Linked DNA regions of Drosophila melanogaster. The protein of the gene in region 2 purifies or fractionates together with the protein of the main gene of each other region. This does not show direct contact. Each region holds a gene or a part of one and is shown on either strand. Other genes may lie near its edges.

What was found. The genes of interacting proteins can lie anywhere in the genome.
Region 1: the proteins of Eps-15 (region 2) and lqf purify together in Drosophila melanogaster (affinity purification with western blotting, with the first as the bait; 2 studies listed by BioGRID). This does not show direct contact.
Region 3: the proteins of Eps-15 (region 2) and Dap160 purify together in Drosophila melanogaster (affinity purification with western blotting; 2 studies listed by BioGRID, with this or other methods). This does not show direct contact.

The regions. Positions count from the first base shown.
Region 1 is NT_037436.4:7,525,902-7,533,137, reverse strand, and holds the start of lqf (liquid facets), read right to left. Parts: upstream 4,359-7,236; 5' UTR 3,952-4,358; exon of another isoform or gene 3,940-3,951; intron 710-3,939; exon of another isoform or gene 525-709; intron 467-524; 5' UTR 311-466; coding exon 310-310; intron 13-309; exon of another isoform or gene 1-12. Other genes in the region: ltl (larval translucida), read right to left, coding at 6,091-7,043.
Region 2 is NT_033778.4:24,768,164-24,778,465, forward strand, and holds Eps-15 (epidermal growth factor receptor pathway substrate clone 15), read right to left. Parts: upstream 7,103-10,302; 5' UTR 6,811-7,102; coding exon 6,745-6,810; intron 6,651-6,744; coding exon 6,414-6,650; intron 6,343-6,413; coding exon 5,579-6,342; intron 5,521-5,578; coding exon 5,199-5,520; intron 5,139-5,198; coding exon 5,049-5,138; intron 4,841-5,048; coding exon 4,778-4,840; intron 4,633-4,777; coding exon 4,435-4,632; intron 4,379-4,434; coding exon 3,935-4,378; intron 3,875-3,934; coding exon 3,686-3,874; intron 3,628-3,685; coding exon 3,562-3,627; intron 3,162-3,561; coding exon of another isoform or gene 3,159-3,161; exon of another isoform or gene 2,135-3,158; intron 1,899-2,134; coding exon 1,256-1,898; intron 1,198-1,255; coding exon 518-1,197; 3' UTR 151-517; downstream 1-150. Other genes in the region: egg (eggless), read right to left, coding at 7,431-7,637, 7,696-8,412, 8,484-9,245, 9,304-9,809, 9,872-10,127, 10,181-10,302.
Region 3 is NT_033779.5:21,137,990-21,145,015, forward strand, and holds the start of Dap160 (dynamin associated protein 160), read right to left. Parts: upstream 4,359-7,026; 5' UTR 4,250-4,358; intron 4,024-4,249; 5' UTR 3,800-4,023; coding exon 3,636-3,799; intron 3,564-3,635; coding exon 3,189-3,563; intron 3,020-3,188; coding exon 2,580-3,019; intron 2,502-2,579; coding exon of another isoform or gene 2,490-2,501; coding exon 2,228-2,489; intron 2,168-2,227; coding exon 2,020-2,167; intron 1,954-2,019; coding exon 1,687-1,953; intron 1,614-1,686; coding exon 723-1,613; intron 373-722; coding exon 124-372; intron 42-123; coding exon 1-41. Other genes in the region: pths (porthos), read left to right, coding at 5,317-5,514, 5,575-5,833, 6,023-7,026.

The DNA of each region.
Region 1 (7,236 bases), on a different chromosome or scaffold from region 2:
TTTTTGAAATGTTTTCAAATCTAAAGTGTTAAGTGTGTTTCGGGCTACAAAATCTGAACAAAAACAAAGAAAAACGGTGAAGATGAGTCGGTACCAGTTGGTGTGGAACGTATGTGGAATGTGTTACGTGATCTTTTTGGTGAGTTTTGCTGCTCTGTGTTGCGGCTCGGTGTGGTGAGAGTTGAAACTTTAGTTTCAAATCAAATCAGATCGAATATTTTCAGTATGTCCCATTTATAATTGGCGGTTTTTTTTTTTTTGTGGAAAAGAAATTGAAGTTATATGAGATGAATTGACATTCAGACTTACTTTTCGTTTGTTTTTGCGTTTGACTTGGTTTTTTTTTTTTATTTGCTATACAGAAACTTTGGACTTTTGCTTGAATAGGCTTTAGACTTTTTTGCTCTTTTTGTTTTTAAATTCGTTTTGGTTTATGTTTATTGCTGTTTAAGTGCTCCAAAGCAAGCTATATATGAGATACAAGATAAATACAATCAAAATACATAGTAAGAGAGTACACATACGGATATACATATTTATATAGAGTCAAATGTCGGTTGTGTCTGTTGTTGCATCGGTGCAAAACACACAAATTAATAGATAAAGTAATCGCCAAACTCAAGTGCACCAAACAAAAAGAGTGAAAGCATATGTTGAAACCAAACTTGAGATACGAAACCCTGAGATTTTAAAGCGCTGCTTTAAAAACCGCACCAGACTTTACAATACTAGATACATCCAGCCCGAAAGCCTCTAGAAGAAATAATTCAATTTGCGGGCAAACAAAAAGCAAACGGAAAGGAAAAGCATGGCAAAAAAATAAAACAAAACATGGCAAAAGAGTATTTCCCTTGACATTTCAAAGTCGACTAGGGAATACACAGCACAAAACTAAATGAAGATATAATTTTTTACAAACTGAGCAAAATGAGCAATTAATGTCACATTTATTTGCCAGCGAAAGTGCTTGTAATCAATTGAATTTTAACCATTAACCATATATAGAATTTTATATTTACAAGAATATTATTTTTGCAGCAAACTCTTTGAGTATTACCAATCAATCTCATTTAACTCATAGAGACTCTGCTTGAACTTAACCCATGGCAGACCGAAACAAGAAGCCGCAAAAGTGCAAATAGCCTGGGCTCAAGAATCAGAAAGTGGACAGACAAACGTCTACGACTATGTCTGGATATGCAAATTTTCAGACCAAACTGCATTATGCATTAAATGGCGACCCACAAGCACAGCGAGAATTCATAGCAAATGAATTGATTTTCCACCGCCCTCTTTGCGCGGTTCCATCTATTTTTAAATGCGAAGAATGCTAATCAAATTGTTATCGATTTTGTTGCAAAAGCGAAGAAAGTTCTTTGAGAAGAATTTAGAGTAATGTGGTTCTCGACCATTAAGAATTTCAAATATATGTACATATATATTTATAGCTGATTAAGCATAAGATAATTACGTGCATGTGTACAAAGTAAGACCACGCGTTTTACGGCTTTGTTTGGAAAAAAGTAGATAAAACGCAAAGTACGTGTGTTACTATATTCACTATAAACACTTTATATTGTTGATAAATTTATTGAAAATAATATAATCGAGCAATAAATAAAAGAGGCAAACATATTCTTGATAAGCGAATACCAAATTTTATTAGGCTATCGATAAGACTAAGAAATCCAAATATATACCACTTTCTTGTTTCGAGATATAGTAATTTGATTAGATATCACTTTAAAAACAATTAATAAGGGCAATACTTTTATAACAACATATAACATAATGAGGCTTGTTAAGATATTTTTGTCTTTTCGGCAGTTAAGATAGCAATTAACCCCAGCTGGCCCCAGCAAAATCTCAGAAATACTGCTAAGTTAAGTGGCGTTTATTAACCAGTTTGTAGCTGAAGAATCGCTGTAGTTTCTGATATAACCACCGTTCTTTATGCGGTCCGACGGGTCTGCATTTATTTTTGTTTATTTTTCGTGTAAACAACGCACTTGACACATATCGAGAAGAGCCGGCTGTGGGGAAACTCCATCGAGAACCCGCCTCAAAACTGTATCTCACAGATAAACCCGTTCCGCAGGCATTCGAGCTATGCGAGAAATCGAGTTAATATTGGTATGAGGGGGGAATACTCATACTCGTAAATGGGCAGTGAAATTCATTGACCGATGATCGTAGTAACGATCCACTGCGAAAAAGGGCCGTTTGTCTGCCTCGTTTGTTTGTTTTCATTTGGCCAATGGAAGGCGAAATAATTTAATTAAATGTCGCGCAGTATAAGACGGGCGAAACAAAAAACACTACGCAAATGAAGTGCAAGAGTCAAGTAAAAGTGGGTGGTGGTGATGGTGACGGTCTGTTTTTGTTGTGGTGGTGGTCTGAACTTGAGCAAATTGAATGCCAGACAGAGGCAATGACGAAGCTTTCTTTGTGTTTCTGTGCACTTGACTTTCGGCAAAACGTCACCGCTTCGTTTTATTGCCAAAAAAATATACAGCTGCGCTTGTGTTGGTATCAAAACAAACAGAATGCCCAACGAGTTGCGAATCACTTTGTTCCAAAGGCTGCGAGCCTTGACGCCAGCCAGCGGTTCAATGAACGTATACACTCGTATAGCTAAGAGACGGAAAAAGCTCCCCAAACGCTCCAAACACCGAACTAAACTCGAAATGGGGAGCTGCAGCGTGTGCGTTGTTCGCCGATTGATATGCGCGGTGGTACTGATCAGTCTGCGATCACTCTCGTTATATCCAAACGCAATTAAATGCGAGCAAAATATTCCACATTCACGAGGCTATTTGACGTGCACTATTGTCAGACGTTTAGCATGTTTCCGCTAAGATGAAAAATATTGATGAAAGCCCGTCAGTAGCCCCACAATCTATGATTCCTAAATACATACTTTTTATCTCATCATTAAACAACGAGAAAGCTTTTCTATTTAAACCCTGCAGATTGAACTCAATTCTCTTACAATCTTGGGATTAACAAAACTTAAAAATTTAATACATATTTAAAAATTGAATTGAATTCGCAAAGATCTGAGGATTGGAAATTATAATTTTGGTTGTTTCGACTTAAGGAGAGAATACTGCAAACAAACATTGAAGATTGTACAACGAAAGACCATAATAATAATAAAATGTCTGTGTTAAACATCTGCTTATCTGGTATCTACGTTACTTTCGCAAATGAAATGTTTGCTTTTGGTTTATGGTTATCTTGAGATGTTTTTCTATTAGCACCTCAAACAGGTGGAAAGGGCTAGCCGCTGGTGACGAAGGTCACTGCTCGCTCGCTGATGCTGCCCACTGTGCCACACGATCGCCGGGCCCCTCCTCGATCCGCCTCGGCGTCCCCCATCACCTCCTCCATACCGCTGGCACTGTTGCATTTTCCAATGTTGCTGCATCTGTTGTAAATGCGGGCGTATATTAGGTATCATTTGTATATAATATATTAATGGCTACATGGGTGCTTTCTGTGGCTGTGTGCGTATGATAACGAGCCAGAAATGCGATTAGATTTCATTTGTGACACTAGAACTACTCGCACCTACACACACACGTATACGCACACGGACGCACTGATTGGGGGGCACACGAATGTGCGAAACTTCATTCATTACTCATCCGCCCCCCCTCGCAAACATAAACCCGTTTCCACCCACGCCCCTGGCAACCCTGGATCCACTATGACTAATCACTCGACCGGCTAACGGCAGTTATCAAATAAAAAAAAAAACAACAAAAAACAAAAGCCAAAGAAGCGCTATCAATAAGCATATGTTGTAAAAAACGGTTAGCGGGGAATTACGTTTAGACAAGGGGGATCTATAATTACGGAAAATTATTATTTAAGAAAAAGAAGCCCCAAAGAGAAAGAGAGACAGAAATATGTTTGTGGCCCCCTCCCACTTACTCTTTCGCTCACCTGCAATGTTTCTGTTATTGTTGGTTTTGTTGCTTCACTGCAGTTCGCCTTTGGTTGTGTGTGTGTGCGTGTGGGGGCTCCGCTCGGCTGTGTATGTGTGTGTCTGTGTGTGCGACTCCTCCTCCCCAACTAGTTTTCTTTTCTATATTTTACGACTTTCTTTTCTTTCTTTTTTCGGACTCGAATAGACACGGTCACAAGATGACGATGACGACAATGCGACGTCAACAAAGGGGGAAAATAGTATAGCTGCGCGCACGATATGGATATCCAAAAATCCTGGCACTCTATCGGGTTTATAGGGCTCTCGACTGCGATTGCGATGATATTGCAACTTATTTACCCTTTGCACTCTGCGCACAAAACACGAATTATTATTTCTTTCTCTGCTTTTCGCTTTGCACTAGTGGTGGACCAGAATTGATGGGCACTCGAAATATCGCGATATCGATTTATTCCTGAACCTATCGGTTCTTATCAGTTTGGAGTATAAGTATTTTAAAAATACTAGCTCACAGAAGAGCAAAATTATTCCTGTTATTTAATTATATTCATTTGCTTTTGGTATGTAAAATTTATAAAGGAATAACAATTTATCTTTGACCATCAACTACCGTCGTTCTTTTTATTTTTCTATATGTACAATAAATATTTAAGCTTTTAATTAGTAGAATGTTAAAATTATCTACAAGTTGTTTACATAGTAATTTAAATGTAACGCCGATATTTTTGAGTTGTCATCCCGATTTTTAAACATGATACTCGATGATATCGATAGCTGTGACAAATCACCTATCGATATCACTTGCATTCTCAAACTTACCAAACTGTGGTGAATTTGCTTGCGTGAAAGTGATAACTTTACTTCTCTAAAGTATTTACAGTTGTGCATGGATATTTTCAACATCAAGATTTAAAATTCTGTGTTCTTCTAAATATATTTTCTTATTGTTAAATTAGATAATCATTTGGTTTTTAGATTCTTGTTTTTGTGAGCTGCGAATATCTTAGTTCCCACCTCTACCGTTAGCGGTTACCCAAAATGGCGCCAACAGAACATTTTCAAAAACAAAAAAGGAACTTTGCACTTCCGTTTCAACCATTTTATGAAAAACAACGGCAAGAACATTGCCAAGTTCTTTAAGAAGAGAACAACAAACTCGACTTTTATTTATGATTTTATTTAGAATACCATTTTCATTTTCGTATAATTACACGCTAAAATCTATTTTCTCATTTTGTTAACGAACTGATAACAATATATTTTCTCGTTTTTTTTTATTCGTATTTTTTTCAGTTTGTGCATGTGCACGACTACGGCTGTGTTTGTGTGTGTGTGGTTTTGTGTGTTTGTATGTGAGTGAGTGCTTTTCGTTATTAACATTAGCTCGATGCGATTTGTTGTTGCTGTCGTTTAACTCTAAGTACCTACTTGTAGATGTTCAACGTTCATACGTGTATACAGTTATTAAATATATATAATGTGCATATGCAGTTGCATATTCGATATCGCCAACTTCCTGTTTCTATCGGTCTTGCTTTCGTTTTTTAATTTCACGGTTTGTTTCAATTTATTTTTTATGATCATACTAAACCAGCGGAAAATATATCACCCATTTCGATGTGTTTCAATGTATCAATGTATCAGCTCTAGATATTTAAGAGATTTTAAAATACATAATTTATATATTTGGATTGTTTTCTGCAAATAGTTTAAAATTCCGTGAAATTGAAAACCGAAAGAGTTCCGCTTGCCAACGCCAAAGCACACATACGCGAAATTGAGCCCCCAACAAATAAGCTTAAATCATAAGACTGTCCTCGTACGTTTGTCCCGAATGCAGGATTACATCAAAAACCCAGTAATCGTATCAAATTTTGCATAAAATCGACGAAAAAACTCAACAAAAAAGCGTTTGGTCTGACAAACTGTTCGATTTAGCGATGGCTTAAATAAAACATAAGAACTAAGTTAACTTAAGGCATACAAATCCGAAACTCGCTCCTTCCGCCGTTTGCATGCTGCTCCGTCCGCTCTCCATCGATTCCACCGCCTCCATCCCTCTGCGATTTACAGTAAAATAATGTGGTTATTTTCGGGGGATTCCCCCCGAGGAGCCAAACCCCCAGGCGGAGGACTCACTCCTCCGGCGGTTCCTCGGGAATCTGGAGGCTCTGCGCCGCGTGGGGATACTCCGCGTGCACTGAGTTAGAGTGCACCGACTCGGAGTCCTCCTCCAGCGCATTCGCCTTGCTCGGAGGCGGCGTCAGTGCATCACTGCCCACTGGAGGCTGCACCAGATTGGGGATGTACTCGACCGTCTCGTACTCGGTCTTGGCCACCGCCTCGTGGTCCAGATCCCGCTCTAGTTCTCGCTCCCTTTCGCGTTCCCTCTCCCTTTCCAGATCCTGCTGCAGGGGATCTAGAACCACTGGCGGAACGAGGGCAGTTTGATTGACTGTAGTGTCCGGTGGATTGGGATCCTGGAGTTCCACAATCACGGGCAGCGTTTCATTGGGTTTCGGTGTTGTGGTGCTGGTGGTAGTCGTCGTGGGTGCTGTAGTCGTAATAATCTCGATGGGAGCCACCTGACTACTGGTCTCCGTTGTTGTTGTCGTCGTTGTGGTACTTGTGGTTGTCGTGGTCTCCTGTGTGTAATTGGTTGGCACTGGATTCGCAGTGGTAGACTCATTCTTCTCAACTTCCGATTCCACAGGAAGTGGCAGAGGCGGTGGCGGCGTTGTGGTGGCCAGCAGAAGTGGTGGTGGTAGTGGCGATATCACCGGATTGACCAAATCGGTGCTAATGAGCACTGGATTACCCAGAGTGGCAATAAGTGGCGGTAATAGCTCATTATTGGCCTTGATCAGCGATGGTACGATCACCCGAACCATCGGCTTTGGAACCTCGCGGCCCGTCAACTTTAGATTGGTCACCATTATGGGCAGGTTCACATTGTATAGCATCGGGAGCACGGTGCACACCTCCTGGTCATTCTCAAAGCACTGGGATCGACCACGAATTCGTGCCTCCTGAACGGCCATCAATCGACACAGCTCGTTCAATCCCACGTCACACATTATGGGATTGTCTGGAAAAAGAATAATTGAGTTTATAGATTTATATTACATGATTATTATAAACACAAATGTATAGTACTTCAGCTTAAAACGAACGAGAAACTTGTTTGCATGCGCAGTTTCTATTCATTTAATACTCAATAAACCCTCTTTATTCTACCTTTTAAATAAAATCTTAATCTTCATGTGCACTGTAATATCGCA
Region 2 (10,302 bases):
CGATCTGAATCGCGAACATGAAATTCATAGCGGCCCACTAGCTCTGCCGGCGGCTCTGCTGAGAACCCACCATCAGTGGTGTTGGTGTGGGCGAGAGTGGAGCCTCGCTCTCTGCTCTCTCTCTCTCTCTTTGGCCCTCTCCGTAGCGGTGATGTTATTTCGTACGTTTATTCATAGGGTTTTGGTACATGTTAAAAATCGCAACATGATTAGGCTCTACGAGTATGTGGTTACGCGAAATTATATATATGTAGTTGTATATAGCATGAAGCATTTAATACCAGCTGCGGCTTTGTTGGACTTCTCTATTCGCCCGGATCCTTGAGCACGAGGAGTACTGAGTAAATACCATGGAAGCTACATATGTACGTGTGTGCCTCCAGGATGTCTTGATCGAAGCGGAAAGAAAGCACTAACACTAAAGAACGGATTGGGTGCGAATAGAGAAGCCATTGCATGTGCCACTGCAACTTCTCATGGGTCAATCACATCCAACCCACCAAGGTTTTCATATAATCTAGTTGTCCAGTACGCTGCGCTTCAGCGCCTCCTCCAGGTCCGCGTCGAAGCTCTCCGGCTTGGAATAGTCTGCAGCAAACTTGTCCTTGACCGGCTCCTTGCTCTGAAACTTCTTGTCCACCTGCCCGTTCTGCTTCTCCTTGCCCGTCGTTCCGAAGGAGGCGTTTCCGAAGTCACTCGAGAAGTTGTGTGCCTCGAAGCCATCGAACTTGGCGAAGTTGGCGTTGGGGCTTGTCTTGAATTGGTCCTCGAAATTGTCGTTGAAGGCGTCAAATGCCTTTGCCCTTTGATCGTTGGGCCTGACCACGCCAGTGGGTACTGATGAGCTCTGGATCACACTGAAGTTGTCGTTAAATGCATCAAAAAAGGAATTGTTGAGTTTCGTATTGCCAGTGGTTGTGGCCGTGGTTGCAGCCCCAGATCCACCAGTGGTTGCCAGCGTAGCTGCGAAGTCGTCGAAGTCAGCGAATGCGTCCAGCGCCGTCTGCGAGTCGTGGCTCGGCTTGGAGTTGGAGTGGTACGAAGTGCCTGAGTGGTGCGACGGCGCCGGACTCGAGTTCAAGTTGAAGGCGTCGAACTGCTGCAGCAGGTCGTTGTTTAGCGGCGTGGCCGCCTTGGGCTTAATGCTATTATTGTTCACGATGTTACTCAGAGTTTTGGCGGCTGATCCAATCTCATCTGTGTAATAGAAAACTTTATTAGATAGGAATAGGCCCGAGAATAGCACTATACTCACCACCCGAGCTAAAGTCCTCCGCAAAGTTCCTCTTGTGGTCAGCACCCTTGCCTTCTGACAACTCCTCCTCGCCCTCTTCGGCAAAAGGATCCTTGATGCTAAATGGATCTTCGTAACGGTAATCCTTGAAGGGGTCATCCTTGAAGTCGGTTGGCCCTGTAATGAGACTGGGAGTCGGGGCCTTCCGAGTTCCAATCTCTCCAAATGCATCAAACACACTGACTACCGCCTTGGTCTCCAATTTCACATCCGCCGTCCTCTGGTTCTGCAGCGGTGTATTGGAACGCGACAGATGCTGGTTATTCAAGCTGGGGGCGGTGGTAATGGTGACGCTACTGGGGAGGTCTGCCCCCGCTCCCGCTACCGATCCCGATCCTGATGTTGATAGAGAAGCCAATGCCGGGGATGGGGCTGCTGGCGTGGATAAAGATGTCTGGAGCAGGGTGTGTACGGTGGGGACAGTGATGGGCGTGGGATTGGGCGTGCTTGCCGCCTGCTTGTGGATTTGGCCGGGATCGTCGAATAGCGTGAAGCTGTCTAGCAATGACGATCCACTGACGACCGGAATGGGGGCTGGGAGCGTGGGTGGGAGCGGGGACAGTGCAGTGGCCGAGGGCGAGGGTGCGCTTGGAATGTGGTGGAGCTGCGTATATGCGTTGTGTCGGGGGGGGGAATAGAAGTGAATGAAACAAAAATAAATTAAAACGAATTCAAATTAAGCGAAATCGAAAAAAAAAAACACAACAAAGGGGAAACCGAAATCAATCAGGGTCAACAAAAGCGTTAAAGCAGCCACGGAGGATTGAGTGGTTCGTGTGAGATTGTGACCAGCACCATGAGGATATTGGGTTTCCCCAGCAAGAGAACTCCGACAGGCGTACGTTGAATGATGTCGAACATAGATATCTTTATTAATAATGCAAAACGTTGTGTCGGTTACATTTCTGTATCGGTTAGGCCGGGCTTCTCTAAAAGTTGCTCTTGCAGTATGTATGTATGTGGTATGCACGGAATATGAATTTTCATTAAATCAATGCTCGGAAGCTTCTTAGTTTCGGTGTGGGTGTTCGTACGTCTGTGGCTATGATTATCGAGGTCTGGCAAATATATATATATATATATGTATACAAGTAGTTTATATAGTAGAGCGGAGACCAACCCCCTTTCAAGCCGAACTGCTGGTTACACCGCGACGCACTCCAGACCGGGAACACTGAGCGGCTCTAGAAGCTGAGTGGAAAAGGGTTTCGGTAAATAGTAATAGGCAGTCCGGATCCGGAGGCGGACCGCCCGTAAAAGTCGAACTTTCGCGGCAGTTACATAAATATCTGTATGTTTGTAAAATGCTTGTAATACATGTATATTATGGATGTATAATTGCTTTAAACTTTAGTATTCGCATATGCAAAAACAACAAACAACTTGCAATAAATTCCTTACAGAGGAGGTCTCTACCCTCAAAACCTAATCGCGATAATACACTGGCCTTGAAACGATTCGAGGGGAATCCATAATATTAATAATAGTAGGTAAGTACAATACTGCACAGCAAAGGGAGTCGAACACTTGGAACTCTGGGGATTCCTTCCGCCTGCTGTCTGTTTTAATTTGAGACTACATCTATAACACGATACGTAACGCTTGAAATTGGTTTGAGTTCGGTTGAGTTTCGATTGAATTGATTTAGTACATTTAGCTAATTAGGCATGAACGATAATGCTGCGTCCTCTAGACATTATACCATGCACCGTGACTGATATATATACGTTAATATGCTGCTGCAAATAGCTTTGTACGCTCAAATTGATTTGTTCGTTATGCTGCTAGAGGAGGCCATTCATTAACTGAGTATGTGTGTTAGTACTGGTATATGTCGTATATAGAATGGGTTATCTTAAGGTGTTCACTGAAAGTAGAGAATTGCAGAGATGAAAGACCAGACGGTTAGTTCAATACGGCACCAAGCGAGAAGACCATGGCATGACAAAGCTACTGGGATGTACGAGGTTGGGTGGTGAGGTGATCTGGGTGGAATGTGTTCCGTCAGTACCTTCTACTAAGGGTAAACAAAAGGTGCTACAAATCCAAAACAAGTCAGAAATCATAATACTCAAGGGCTACGTTCTTGGAGTGTGCATCAAAGTGTTTTATTTCTACAAAACTCAGGAAGTGTTAGTGATAATAAACTTAAAACCAGGGTTTAGCGCGGCAATAAATGCCAGCAACATAAAAAAACTCAGGGATTCGGGTGCGGGGCGCATGCATTACCACCGATCCCAGCGGACACTGAATTGTGGGGTACCAACCTTATTGTCGAAGTCGTCAAAGTCGGCAAATCCTCCTCCGCCGCCGCTTCCGAAACCACCCGTGGGCTGGCAAACATAATAATTTAGGGATTCTCCATTGTACAGCATAAAGGAGTCGTCTTACCTGGGCTGCTCGTGGTGGCGCTGGTCGTGGGGGCGGCACCTTGGACTTCTTTGGCGGCAATGCTGGACTAGGAGACTCCGGTCTGGGCGGCGGTCCGGACTTCTGGGCGTTGGGACTGAGCACCTGACCCTGGCCGGTTGGAGCATGCAAGGCAGCAAACGGATCACTGCCGAAGTCGTCCTTGCCGGGCTGTATAAGATTGGAAAAGTGATTCGGGTACAAATAAGAGTGTTCTATTCTAAATCCTACCTCAGGAGTAATGGCGTTGCTCTTGTTGGCTGCAAAGGCATCCGAGCCGAATGGATCCCGCTGGGTCTGACCAAAGGCTGAGCCCGCTCCGCTCTGACCAAAGGCATCGAAGCCACTATCGAAGCCTGAGCTCATGTTGAAGCTGTCATCAAAGCCTGTAGAAATAGCCGGCTTGTTGACCGGCTGACCGGAGAAGGGATCGCTGCCAAAGCCGTTGGTAGCTTGATTGGCGGCGCCGCTGTTGTTCTCCTCAAAGGGATCATCCTTGGGCAGTTGCACTTCCTTTGTCAGGGTCTTGCGCGCCTCATCAAAGTCCGGCTCTATCTTCAACTGGTATTCGGATACGAGTTCCGCGTTTTGGTTCTCCATGGCAGCCCGACAAATGAGCAAAGCGTCGGTCATCTGTCGCTGCGTCTCCAGCAGCTGTGTGACCATTGATCGGACCTTCAGACGACTTATGTTAATCTCTGATCACTTGATTGTATCATGTGTAGTCTTACCGAGCTGATTTGCAGTTGGGTTGCCTGCAGGTGGTTGGTTAGCTTGGATAACTCCCGATTGTTGCTGTCGTACTCCTTTTGCAACGAAGCTTCTTCGTCCTTGAGCTTCTGCAGCTCCGAGCGTTTTGCGTTTAATTCGCCCTCCTGCTCGTTGATGGTCACCTCCTGCATGTGGCACTGGTCGCGAATCTTGGTCACCTGCAAGCAAGCGGGTTTCTCGATCAATAATTAGGCTATTTTATAAAAATATTTCGGACAACAGATGGTCAAAAACATAAATTACATGGCCGAGAACAAAACACAAAAGAAATATATACAGAAATCATGAGAAACTGAAACAAACCTGCTCGTTGGTGCGCGATATGTCAAGACTTACGTTGGCCAGCACGGCCGTATTGTGGCTAACCTTATGCGATCGTAATTGTAAGTGTAAGTGCATTCACCGGTTTAGTATGGATTTAGCCAATAGTTAACAAAGTGGTGGGGGAACATGATAAAGAAAGGAAACCAAAGATTGAATTTAAATATAAAATTAAACGTAAGCCCAGGAGCAAGGAAAAGGCAAGCAGTGGCGCAGGGGCCAAAAGCACCCAAAGAATCATGCAAATAACTACTTGAGCCTGCAGGTCATCCAGTCGCTTCTGGGCCTCTCCTCGCTGGTTCTCCAGCTGCTTCAGTGTGGCGGTAAGAGTATCCAGTTCACTCTGTGGGTGAAGATTCTGAATTATTAAATTCGACTTGGAAACTAGTTACAGAAGACTCGCCTGCAAACTGCGCACTTCGCCGTTTTTGATGCGCACATCCGCTTCCTTTTGGGCAATCTCCGTCTCCAGAACCCGCCGCTCACGGGCCAACTCCTCAATCTCCTTGGAGATCATTTCCAGCTCCGGGTTTGAGTAAGTGGGCTTGACCTCCTGCGGCTGCAGATCGACTCCAGCCACAGTGGCGCGCATTGAGGGCGGCACCATATTGGCGTTGAGGACATGTGGCGGGTCCACACCGCGCTGCTTTCGCTCCACGAACCACATGGCCAGTGCAAACTGCTCCACAGTCAGCTTACCGGACTGATTGGTGTCACAAAGAGCCCTAAAAGGAAAGGCATCGTTATAGATATTTTGGCAATATCTATATACGAAATAACTACCAGATGTCTGCTAGGCTTCGCTGCGGAATACCCGACTTGATGAAAATATCCTTCACCTCAAGGCCGGAGACCAGGCCGTCCTTATCCAGATCCGATTGCCGGAAGATCTCCTCGAACCGCTTTAGGTCCGCTGGGGTGACAACCCAGTCGGCATTCGCCATCACCGGAGCCCCAATCGGTATCAATGGATCCGTCTGAATCAGCGGCTGAGAGCTGACTGCTCCCACCGGGGGAATGCGCGTCATGGGGGGCACAGCCACCGGGAGCGGCGGAATAGCCGCCGGCGGGGCTATATCCTTGGGAAAATTTGCTACAAATCCGCCGTCCCCAAATCCTTCCCCACTGGGAGCACGTGGCATAGCAGCACCCGCTGGCGGTGGTGGCATGGCTGGCTTCGGTGGCGGACCTGCTCCTCCGGGCTTTCGCAGCTCGGGCGGCAGAACGCTAGGAATGGTGCGCTTCTGCAGCGTCTGGTAGACCAGGTGCATGGCAACCACGAATTCGTGCATATCCAGGTTGCCGTCCTTGTCCTGGTCGGCCAGGTCCCATATAGTTCCCAGTATGCTCATGGGCAGCTTGGAGTCCATGAGCACGCCTTTAACCTTGTTGCCCGGCAGCATTCCATTACTGGGATGCAGGGACTCGAAGAGCTGCTCGTACTTGAGCCGATCGATCACCCCGATGGACCAGTCTCCGTTTGCCACTCCGCCGCTAGCAACGGGAACAGTCTGAATACGCGACGGCATCGTTTTTGGTAGTTCACCCTGGCGATTGGGGCGACATTAATGTAATATATCTCGTCTTGCCCATTTCGGGCGAAGTTGCGATTACTCACCAACTTGGGCGGGTTGGCAATGTCCAGGTAGATGTTGGCCATGCTGGCCACCTGTCCCGCCTGCGACAGGGACACCAGCTTAAGGGCTACAAAAAAGCCCGGCTTGTCCAGAAAGCCCTTGCCGCTCGGATCAGACAGGTCCCAGATCCTGCTTAGCACAACGTCGCTAAGGCCCGACTTCTTGAGAAACTTGGCCGCAGTCATGGCCTCGATTGCCCCTGTGCCTTTGGGGTCAATCTGCAAAAATCGATAGAGGGTGGGTGTGGATACGGATGCTCAACATTGGCCGCCATCCTGGTAACAGTGCGGCTTGGAGGCGTGGTGCGCTTACCAGTTTGTAGTAGGCCTCGTAGACGCCTATGTGCTTCCCGCACACCCTCGCAAAGTCCACATTCATGGTGTGGAGTCTACTGGCAATTGGTTCCGACTAGCAGTGCAAAAACGCGTAAGCGTAAGCCCGTTATCACAAAATCGATTTTTTCTTCCCAAGGGGCGGATAAGCTGCTCTTAGTCAGCCGTCGGCGGAGTCCTGCTGCCTAGCACCTGTGCACCTGCGACGAGACACTTGCTGGAGCCACTTACAGGTGAGCTTGGCGCATTGCGGCCCCTAATTTAGCTACTCTCGAATTTTAAAAAGCCTAAATTTGCTTTTTTGCTCGGTGGATAGTGTGACCGTTCGGATAACGATTAAAAATACCGTACGGCTGATGATTAAGTATACCACTAGGTAAAATGCGTTAAAATACCACATAAATTAATACCGTTAAATTAACGAACATTATTATTTTTTTAAAGTATAATTTTTTAAAATTCATTTGTCTATATTTATTCCTTTAACACTAAACGTGAAGAAAATTGTGTACTTTGAAACGGACGGTGCAGAACAGCAGTAGCTTATAAAAATGCAATGTTTCCGTTACCCTAACGGAACAGATAATGTTTAAAGTTTAAATTTTTAATTCTAATTCTTCTTTAATGAGTATATTTCCTGTATGGATCTCTAACTTAAGCTAGAACTTAGAGCAGACGAAGGCGGCAATTGGGGGCCCCGCACTGGCAGTACAACACCTTGCCGGGCACCACGCCCACCTCGTAATTGTAGTTCCAAGTCAGCTCGGTGCCGGAGCGGATGTGCGCGGCCGAGAAGAAGGCAACCCAGGGGAAACGCAGGTCGTGAGTATCCACGAACACGTTCTGCACGAAGAGATTGGGGCTGCACGAGTGCTGCGGGAGAAGAAGAGAATCAGCCACACGGCAAAATAACAAAAAACTTCCAACTCACGTTGAAATAGCGTCCAAGGTTGCCCGTTGTCTTGGCGTCCATGATGTAGGGCGCCTCGTCCTTGCCGAAAAGCCTCCGCACCGAGTTCTCCCGCACCGTCTCGTCCAGATCAGCATTTGGGTTAAAGTTGATCACCGCACGCTCCTGCGAGTCCAACTCGCTGCTCTGAGTGGAGCTGTTCTGCGTGGAGCCGCTTCTGGAAGAGCGCTTGATTTTGCGCTGGTAGTGATAGTTTGGCCGGAAGTCGTCATCGTCCTCGGCATCGGGTCCCCCGTTGTCCTCCTCGGCGTCCGGGTCCGAGTGGTCCACCTCCGACTCGTATCCCTCTTTTAACTGTTCAGCGACCTCTATGTAATCTAAGTCCGCGAAATACTCGTCGCCGGCGTCCTGTCCGCCTTCGTTGGCCATCGTCTCCGTGAGCAGATGGCCGGCGTAAATACAGATGAAAGCACCCTTGGGGATGTCGTTAACGCAGCGCAAGCCCCATCCACGATTTGAGGTCTTGAACACCTGCAGTTTCATCTCTAGGGAGAACTGCACCACCCGGTTCAGGCAATTCTTCTTGCACTTGCAGCGCGAGTTGCACTCGTAGATGCCGGTGGGCACGTGCTCGTGGAGCCGCTTGTACTGGTAGCCTATCTCCTCGATGGGTTTCTTCGGGTTACAGTACCGCACGCCCGCCACCGTTAGCTGCCAACAGGCGCACTTTGACTTGTCCTGATAGGGATACACAAAATAGTGGGCGGCTGGGTATAATTTGAGGTAATCAGATCTGTAAGACGTCTTACCGAGCAGTCGTCCTCGCAGTCGCAGCACAAGAGGAACTCCTCGTCCAGATTCAGATGAACACCCTCGGTAGGGATGCGCTGCTTCGCGTAGGTGCATGGGGGCGGCAGGGTGTTGTCGTAGTAGTTTACCAGCGGAATCGCCATCTTCTCCTGCCCCTTTGAAATGTCCGTGTCCTTCACGATCGAGGGATCAATGGAGTACTCGGCCAGACACTTGAGGTCGGGCGTAAAGTCAAAATTGTCTACGTTCAACACATTTTCAGTAGCTCGAAGGTACCTGTGAACTTCGGCCAGGCTGCGCAAGCTTTTGCCACAAGGTCCCTTGTATACCACAGACTTCTTGGTCTTCTGCCGCATGACAAGACGTTCCCAGCCAGAAAGCAGAGGCTTCGCTAACGGACTGTAGCTGTCCAGACGGTGAACGATCTTAAAGAGGCAGTTCGGGCTGCACTCGTGGCACTTGTACATTTTGGGAGGCAGATTCCGCTTGGCTGTAAAGTAGACTACATGGCCCTTGGGCCTGTTCTCGTCGTCCACGTAGATTGTCGAGTTGTTTAGGTGTCGCACAGCACTTGCGCTATTACTGGTGCTGACACCTCCTGCATTGGTGCGTCCTCCGGCTGGGGTTGCTGCCGAAGATGCAGCCGCTAATGCGTTATTTTGGGCGGAGGCGCTGCTCTTGCGGGCAAAGGCACGCATCTGCTGGTTCACCTTGCTGCTGGACTCCATCTCCTTGGTGTACCGAATAAAGGGCTCCGTGCGCTGAAAAAGAAAGACATTTTGTAGTTAGGACCGCAGGATGAATCGACACGATGCTTACTCTTGGGACACGCAGCTGCTGTGCGCTTGAACTGTTCATATTGTTCTGGGTTTCCCTGAAGACAGGACCCAAGCGCAATGAACCCCTGTATATCCACTCCGTATGGTTTTTGTCGCCCTCAAACTGCATCAACACCAAGCTGCAGTCGATGTCAATGACGCGCGCGTACAGCCAGGTCCCGTTCGATTCAGTGGTCATACTTTGTCCCCGGGTGCATTGCACCATTGGACGATCCACGGAGTACTTCTCCACGTACTTCTGTATGAAATCGCGCGATGCGGCGTGTACGTCCTCCCACACTTTCTCGGAAGCCTGGCAAACTAGACGGACATCGCGGTGCGGAACGTACTGAGTGTACCCATCGTCGTAGAATATTAGGTAGCGGTAGCGATTGGCCTGCTTCAACGGCTCAGCGATGATGCCTGGATAAAAGGCGCTCTGCACCACGCCCTTATCCTTGCCCCGCGACAAAGTGGTGCCATCGAAGTACGCAATCACGCGGGTACCTAGTGCACAATGAGTGGGTTAGTTTATAGATTGATAAATAACCGGTCTATTGGGAACTAACCAATGGTCAGTCGCACTGGCGGTGGTTCGAAGTAGGCAATGTGCTTGGCCGTCACTGTCTTGATCATCTGGTACGGAGTGTTGAGGTACCTAATCTTGTAGCTCTTCATCGTGTTTCCGTTGATGGCGGTGCTCTCTGTAAACTCGATTACCTTTATGGACACCCAGCTGGCAATAGCCTTGTTCTTAACAGCGTAGTATGTCTCTCCCAACTGTATTGGAGGACGCACGATTTCGCCAGGAGGTGGAACTTCATGCTGAGTAAATGGTTGTATTAAATCAGATCCAAACGGCATCACTTCTTACTTACCACATAGTCACTGGGTTCAATGTCCAGGGTGGGCAGATGTTTGTGTGCCACCGGACACGAGTTATACAAAGCGCAGTGCATTTTGTCAGCGGTGGTCTGAACTTTTTCGAGTTCCACATCTG
Region 3 (7,026 bases), on a different chromosome or scaffold from region 2:
GCGATTACTTGAGCAATCTCAGACCGCTTGGCACGCATTCCCTGCAAAATGATGACGAAAAAGATGTTGGTTCATTAAATGAAACAATAAATGAAGTGGTAACGGGCTGTGTCAACTATTTACGGGTGTCATGGAAGAGGTGCGTGACATGGGTCGGCTGTAGCTCTCGGCAGGCTCGCTGCTCTGTGTTTTGGACTGTGTATTTATCTGGGAAACTTCAGTGTCGAGGTCTTCGTGCGCCTCCTCGGCGCCAACGCCTGGGCTAGATATCGGCTGCTCGCTGGGCTCCTGAACAGGCAGCGGCTGGTAAACCTGCTCCTGTGCCTCCACGGGAGCAGCGGTGTAGGCAGCGTTGCCGTTTAGCGTCGTCTCCTGGGTCAGTGCAAGTGTAACACGGTAGCAAAAAGCACAGCACATGAAAAGCATTGGATTAGTAGATGGACGTGAGGGCAACGGTTAGACACGACTCTAGACTTCGGGATTGTAAACTCTTTACAAGTAAGATAAAGTGTTGGCCTGTATATTTAGCGTTTATATTCTCTTATATGGGAACTAAATTCACTTCTCTCTTATATAAATAATGTCGCTTACTTTTTTTTAATATGAAATTGTACACGATTTTGTATACATAATAATATTATAATTCTTGATTCTAGTTCCAATCAATTTAAAACGCAAATGGCCCCACACATTACTTAATTATGTACTATCTATCCACTTACCTGATCAAGAGATTCTACCGGTTCGGCAGCGGCTGTGCTCGCTGTGCCCACATCAGCCTTTTGGACATAGTTCGAAGGAAACATGCCCGTGCGGCTACCAATGGTACCTGTCCACCACTCACCCTCCTTCTTGATGACCATGACCATCTCACCGGCACTGAAGCTCAAATCGCCTTCCTCGGCGGACTCATAAGGATATGCGGCTATATAATACTCGACATCGCCGGCGGCAGTCAGATCTGCGGAAGCTGCCGGAATCGAGCTGGTATTGATATTGTCATTGTAGGTGTCAGCCACGGTGGCCACTTGAGCATCAACCGGGGCTTCGACAGCGGCGACAGGAGCAACTTCACCGACTTCTAGTTTCTCCACATAGGATTCAGGGAACCAGCCGGTGTGGCCATTTATTTCGCCAGCCAACCATCCCGGCTCGGCGTTCTGCTCCAATGGCACCAGGATAATGTCACCAGGCACAAAGGTAATCTCCTCCGCGTTGCGTGCGTTGAACTCGTATACTGCTTGATATTTCACGAATCCTTCTGGGGCCGGTCCCCCTAAGTCCACAGCTGGAGCGGCCAGTGCGGAGATATCATTGCTCGCAACTGCGTAGGGATCGGTGACAGTCGTACCCGTCTCCTCCCAAGCACTGGAAGAGCCTGTGTCCCAGGCCGACGATACACTAGTTTCGTTCTTTCGATTGTACTTCAATTCCAGCACCGAGGTGCGCTGCACATCGTATTCCTTGTACAGATCCTCGCACTTTGTGATTAGAGCGGAGAGCTCGGCCTTGAGCTCAGACATCTGTACATCATTAGTGTTGATGTCCTCCTTCTTTGACTCAATCTCTTTACTGATATTCTCGACTTTATCCTTTATTTGGTTAATAATTAACTGTTGAAAAAGGTAAATAGTATTTTAGAGAATCCGTTGAATACTAAAACTTTACGTATATGCCAAAGCTCACCTGCTTGTGGGCGAATGCGGCATTCAGTTGCTCCTGCTGCGCATTCTCCCCTCCCAAGGCAGCCCCGCTGGCCTTGCTCTTGGCCTCCCACTTGGCCCTCTCTTGGGTGAGCTGAAGCAGTTTAGCGTTCTGTTCCTTAATCCGCGCTTTCAGCTGCGACATTTCGGACATGGAAGTGTCGCGCTGGGTGCGCATTCCGTCGATAACGGTCTTTACGTTTGTCACGCCGGCACGAGTGTCGCAAATCCTCTGCGAAAGCTCCTTGATCTGTAATTAAGCCGAGTTAGTTAGATAGGCCAGCCATATAGATTAGTTGTACTTTAAGAACATTACTTTTTCATTCAGTGTGCTGAGCTCCACATTAAGCTGGGTGTTGTGTGCCTTCTGCTTTAGAACACGTTCTTGTTCCCTCTCCTTCTGTGCGTTCATTTCGGCAATTCTAGCCTGCTCCCATTCCTGCTGGCGCTGCTTCTCAAGCTCCCTGATACAATAGAAATTGTATACATTGTTTTGTCGCTCAAAGCAAGATAAAAGTCCTTACTTTCTGGCCGCCTCCTTAGCCTCCAGTTCCCTCTTGCGCTGCTCCTCCTTCTCCATCTCAATCTCTCGCTGGCGTTGGAGCTGTCGCTCTAGTTCCTCCTGCTGCTTACGCTCGGCCTCCAAACGAGCCTTTTCACGCTTATCAGCCTCTTCACGCTCCTTTCGCTCTCTCTCTTCCCGCTCCTTGCGCTGCTGGTCCTCCATAATTTTGCGCCTACGATCCAGCTCTGCTTGACCCTTAACATAATTCTCCTTTCGCTTGTCTTCGAAGGAAGCTGGTGAACGCGAAATCACAAGTGTTAATATATGGAATATATTCACATGTTTGGCAACGGAGTTAATTAAGCACTTACTTTGTCCAGGTAGTCCGGCTGTTGGGTCAGCATCCACGACTCCCACTCCGCTTTGGGATGAAACAGATGCGTGTCGGGAGGCCGGCTGTGAGCCAGGACGGGATACCACCCCTGAGACCGATCCCGGTCGCGATTTTATTTTGCGCAAGTTGGGCGGTACCCATTCCTGGGGCAAGGTAACCGGAATTTTCTCACCAGCCATGGCCTTCTCGCATAGGAACATGGCAAGAATAAACTCGTCGCAGTTCAGCCGTCCATCGCCGTCGATGTCGGACAGCGTCCAGATTTGGGCCAGCGTGACCTGGGGTAACTTGCTCTGTACGAGAACGCCGCGTGCCTGGGATCCAGTTAAGTAACCAGATCGGGTGCGATCATTAGCATTGAACACCTGCGTGTATTTACGCTTTTGGGCAGCTTGAACGGCCCATTCTCCTTGGTTGCTAAAAGGATAGAAGTTGATTGAGGAGTTAAGAACAGATACGATATTATATATATGTTTTTGCTAATATTTCAATAACTAAGAATATTTGAAATTTAATTAATTAAATTATCTCTTCTTTGCTACATTAATAATATTAAATCATTAATTCGATTCTAAGTGATGCTTACACAGACTCGATCGATGGCGCTCGCTCTGAGATAGACGTGTGGCGACTAGGTGGATTGCTGGTGGGGGGTGTGGGGCCAGACGGCACTGAGACTCCAGGCGGTGAAATGACAGTAGCCACAGCCACCGGTGGAGCCACAACGGGAACAACTGGAGCTACTGCCGGAACTATTCCCTTGAGTGGATCCAAAGGGCTCAAGGAGCTTGTGGAGCCACGTGGCGTCATCGAGGGGACATCGCCGGTAAGAGACGACAGCAGGCTGGGAGGAAGAACCTTGGGAACGTCCATGCCGCGCAACTTGAGGTTGATAAGCTTGCAGGCTATGCTGAACTCATTGATGTTCATCTTGCCGTCGGAATCAGTGTCCGCCAGAGCCCTGGAGATAAGAAAATGAGTAAGAATTAACACTCTTATCGGTGGATGATTCATGGGGGCGTAATATACATACCATATTTGGCCCAGGATCAGGGGCGGCAGCTGGGACTGCAGGAAGAACCCTTTGGCCTGGGCGCCGGTAACGAATCCTGCCTGCGGCTGGAGTGCCCTAAACTGTTCCTGGTACTTCAAACGCTCCCTCGGGGTCACAGCCCACGCATCCACCGCCGAGTTCATTTTGGGCAAACACTTTATCCTAGTTTCCACGGAAAGCTCTTCCTCTTTATCGTCCTTTTTCCGTATGCGTGTGTATTAGTGCGCTCTCTTCGGCTACTTTTGAGTACACATCAAATACAAACTCTTTCGCTCCGCACTCTTTTCGCCGCTCTCTTTACTACGTCTATCGCCTATTCAGTATCCACCACCCCCACAAATTTTCACAATGGATTTTTATGGTTTACCTATAAAGCATTTCCAAAAATATTAAGCGATCTCAATGGACAGGTTGTAAAGATAGATTGCCCCCTTTACTCGCTTTCTGAAGGTTTTAGTTTCTCTTTAGTAGGCGTTTTCACTTGTCAACCGCATAGCCACGAATTAACTGATAAGTAATGATGTGGTATGGTCCCCGCCAACGCACACGTTATTCTCTTATATATCCCTCTTAACTGTAATTTTGTTGCTTACTTTTCATCGGAACAAGAAAATTTTGTATTTGCGTAAATTTTAATCAATATTTTATATGATAGGATCCTATATCGACGAACGATAGGCTCCGATAGGTACGGACTAATAATCGAAGGAGGGTGACCGTCGCTTGTTTCTGTGATTATAGCAAGCAAGTGTTGAAAAGTACGGTGACCTTAAGTTGGATGTGACTATTCTGCAACGTTTTTGTTTTTAGCCGCTAACGGATTTTTAAATAAATGAAACAACTACTGACTATGAGTAATATATTAATTATATTACTTCTACAGTGAACCTCATAAAAATTATGTCGGCAGTATGATGCATTTAACACAATACGAAAATGTATACCTAACCAAAACATCAACAGATCGCAATAAACAAAATCGAAGATTAAAATTCGAATATCCAAAATTATAAGAAAATGTTAAGTACAAGTCAGTTAAATTATTTCAACTATTTTTTTCTTTTATTGTCTTTAATATTTCTATACAATTAAAAATGACAATTATTCAGAAATCTTTTGTTCCGGATTTAACGGAATTGTTAATAATAGCATCAATAACATTTGTGTATGAAAATGTCAAACAGTTTTTATTCGTTGACAGTTCATGACAGACAACCCTCTAATTGGCGTTTCATTAATTTAAAATTGCGCGATGGAAAAAGATGTATACCAAATTTGTATTCACCATCTATTTTCAAACATTGTTATATTAACTGAAATGACAAAATCACAATATTAAACAATTTTCTAACAAATTACGATTTTATACAAATGTGAATATATTTCCGAAACAAACTATTTGCACTATAACTAAGTCCTGTAATTAAGATCATGGTTCAGTATGAATGAGTTACAAATTTTATTAAGTGTGCATGTGATATATCGCACATTAGCTATCGAAAGTTATCATGAATCTGCACTGTTTTAAAGACGCAACTATATCGATAATATCGCAAATAGTTCTATTTCTATTTTACCGCCTCTAATTCTTTTATTTCGACCACGTGCTGCTATTGGTAATGTCCGTACCGTGAAATTTTTCTGAAACTCATGTAACAAAATGTCGGAAACTTCAGAGGACGAACAGACGCAGCTACAAACGAGTGACGAAGAGGAGGATCTAGGTAGCGAGGAGGAGCAGGAAGATGAAGATAACAATCATAAGGAAGGGGACAGCGAGGCGGCACTAAGTGGTGAAGATGATAAAGGCTCCGAGGACGACGCAGCCGAGGAACAGAAGCTAACCTGGAAAGATCTCGTATGAGCCCCACTATTAATTTAAATTAAAATTTAATCGAATGGCCATATTTCTTCAAAGGGTCTCAATGAGGCTTTGTGTCAAGCATGTGACGAATTGAAGTGGAAGGCGCCTTCGAAGATCCAACGTGAGGCCATTCCGGTCGCCTTACAGGGCAAGGATGTAATTGGCCTAGCGGAGACCGGTTCCGGCAAGACGGGCGCCTTCGCTCTGCCAATTTTACACGCCCTTCTCGAGAATCCGCAGCGGTATTTTGCCCTCGTGCTAACCCCCACGAGGGAACTGGCATTTCAAATTGGCGAGCAGTTTGAAGCCCTTGGTGAGTTTTCGCATAGTTTATGTGCTTTTAATTCGCAGTGATGTTAAACCTGTTTTGATTTTGTGTATCAACGAAAATATGAAATTATAATTTTCTTATTCGTCACTACCTCTGAGTAAAAAAACCTTCCCATTTATCGTATTCTTGAATTTCCTTCTGCCAAACTTATGCTAGCTCTGTTTTTTTCAGGTAGCGGGATTGGCATAAAGTGTTGCGTGGTAGTCGGCGGCATGGACATGGTAGCCCAGGGTCTTCAACTGGCCAAGAAGCCGCATATTATAATTGCCACACCGGGTCGCTTGGTTGATCATCTAGAAAACATGAAAGGTTTTAACCTTAAGGCTATTAAATACTTGGTCATGGACGAGGCGGATCGCATTCTTAACATGGATTTTGAGGTGGAGCTGGACAAGATTCTGAAGGTATTGCCGCGTGAACGACGAACCTTTCTGTTCAGTGCGACCATGACCAAGAAAGTAAAGAAACTGCAGCGTGCCTCCCTTAAGGATCCCGTAAAGGTAGAGGTGTCTAACAAGTATCAGACGGTTGAGCAGCTGCAGCAATCATATTTGTTTATCCCTGTCAAATACAAGGATGTGTATTTGGTTCATATCCTTAATGAGCTGGCAGGCAACAGTTTCATGATATTTTGCAGCACCTGCAACAACACGGTTAAGACAGCGTTAATGCTTCGTGCGTTGGGATTGGCTGCTATTCCGCTGCACGGTCAAATGTCGCAAAACAAGCGACTAGCTGCTTTAAACAAATTCAAGGCCAAAAACCGGTCAATACTCATTTCGACGGACGTGGCGTCCCGCGGCTTGGACATTCCTCATGTGGATGTCGTCGTTAATTTCGACATACCAACGCACAGCAAAGACTACATTCACCGCGTGGGAAGAACAGCAAGAGCAGGTCGCTCCGGCAAAGCCATAACCCTCGTGAGCCAGTACGACATTGAGTTGTATCAGCGCATCGAACATCTACTGGGGAAGCAACTGACACTGTATAAGTGCGAGGAGGATGAGGTGATGGCCCTTCAAGAACGAGTAGCCGAAGCACAGCGCACTGCAAAACTGGAGCTGAAGGATCTGGAAGATACAAGGGGTGGTCACAAGAGGGGCGGGGACACCCACGATGATTCGGAGAACTTCACGGGCGCACGCAAACGCATGAAACCGATGGGCGGCACT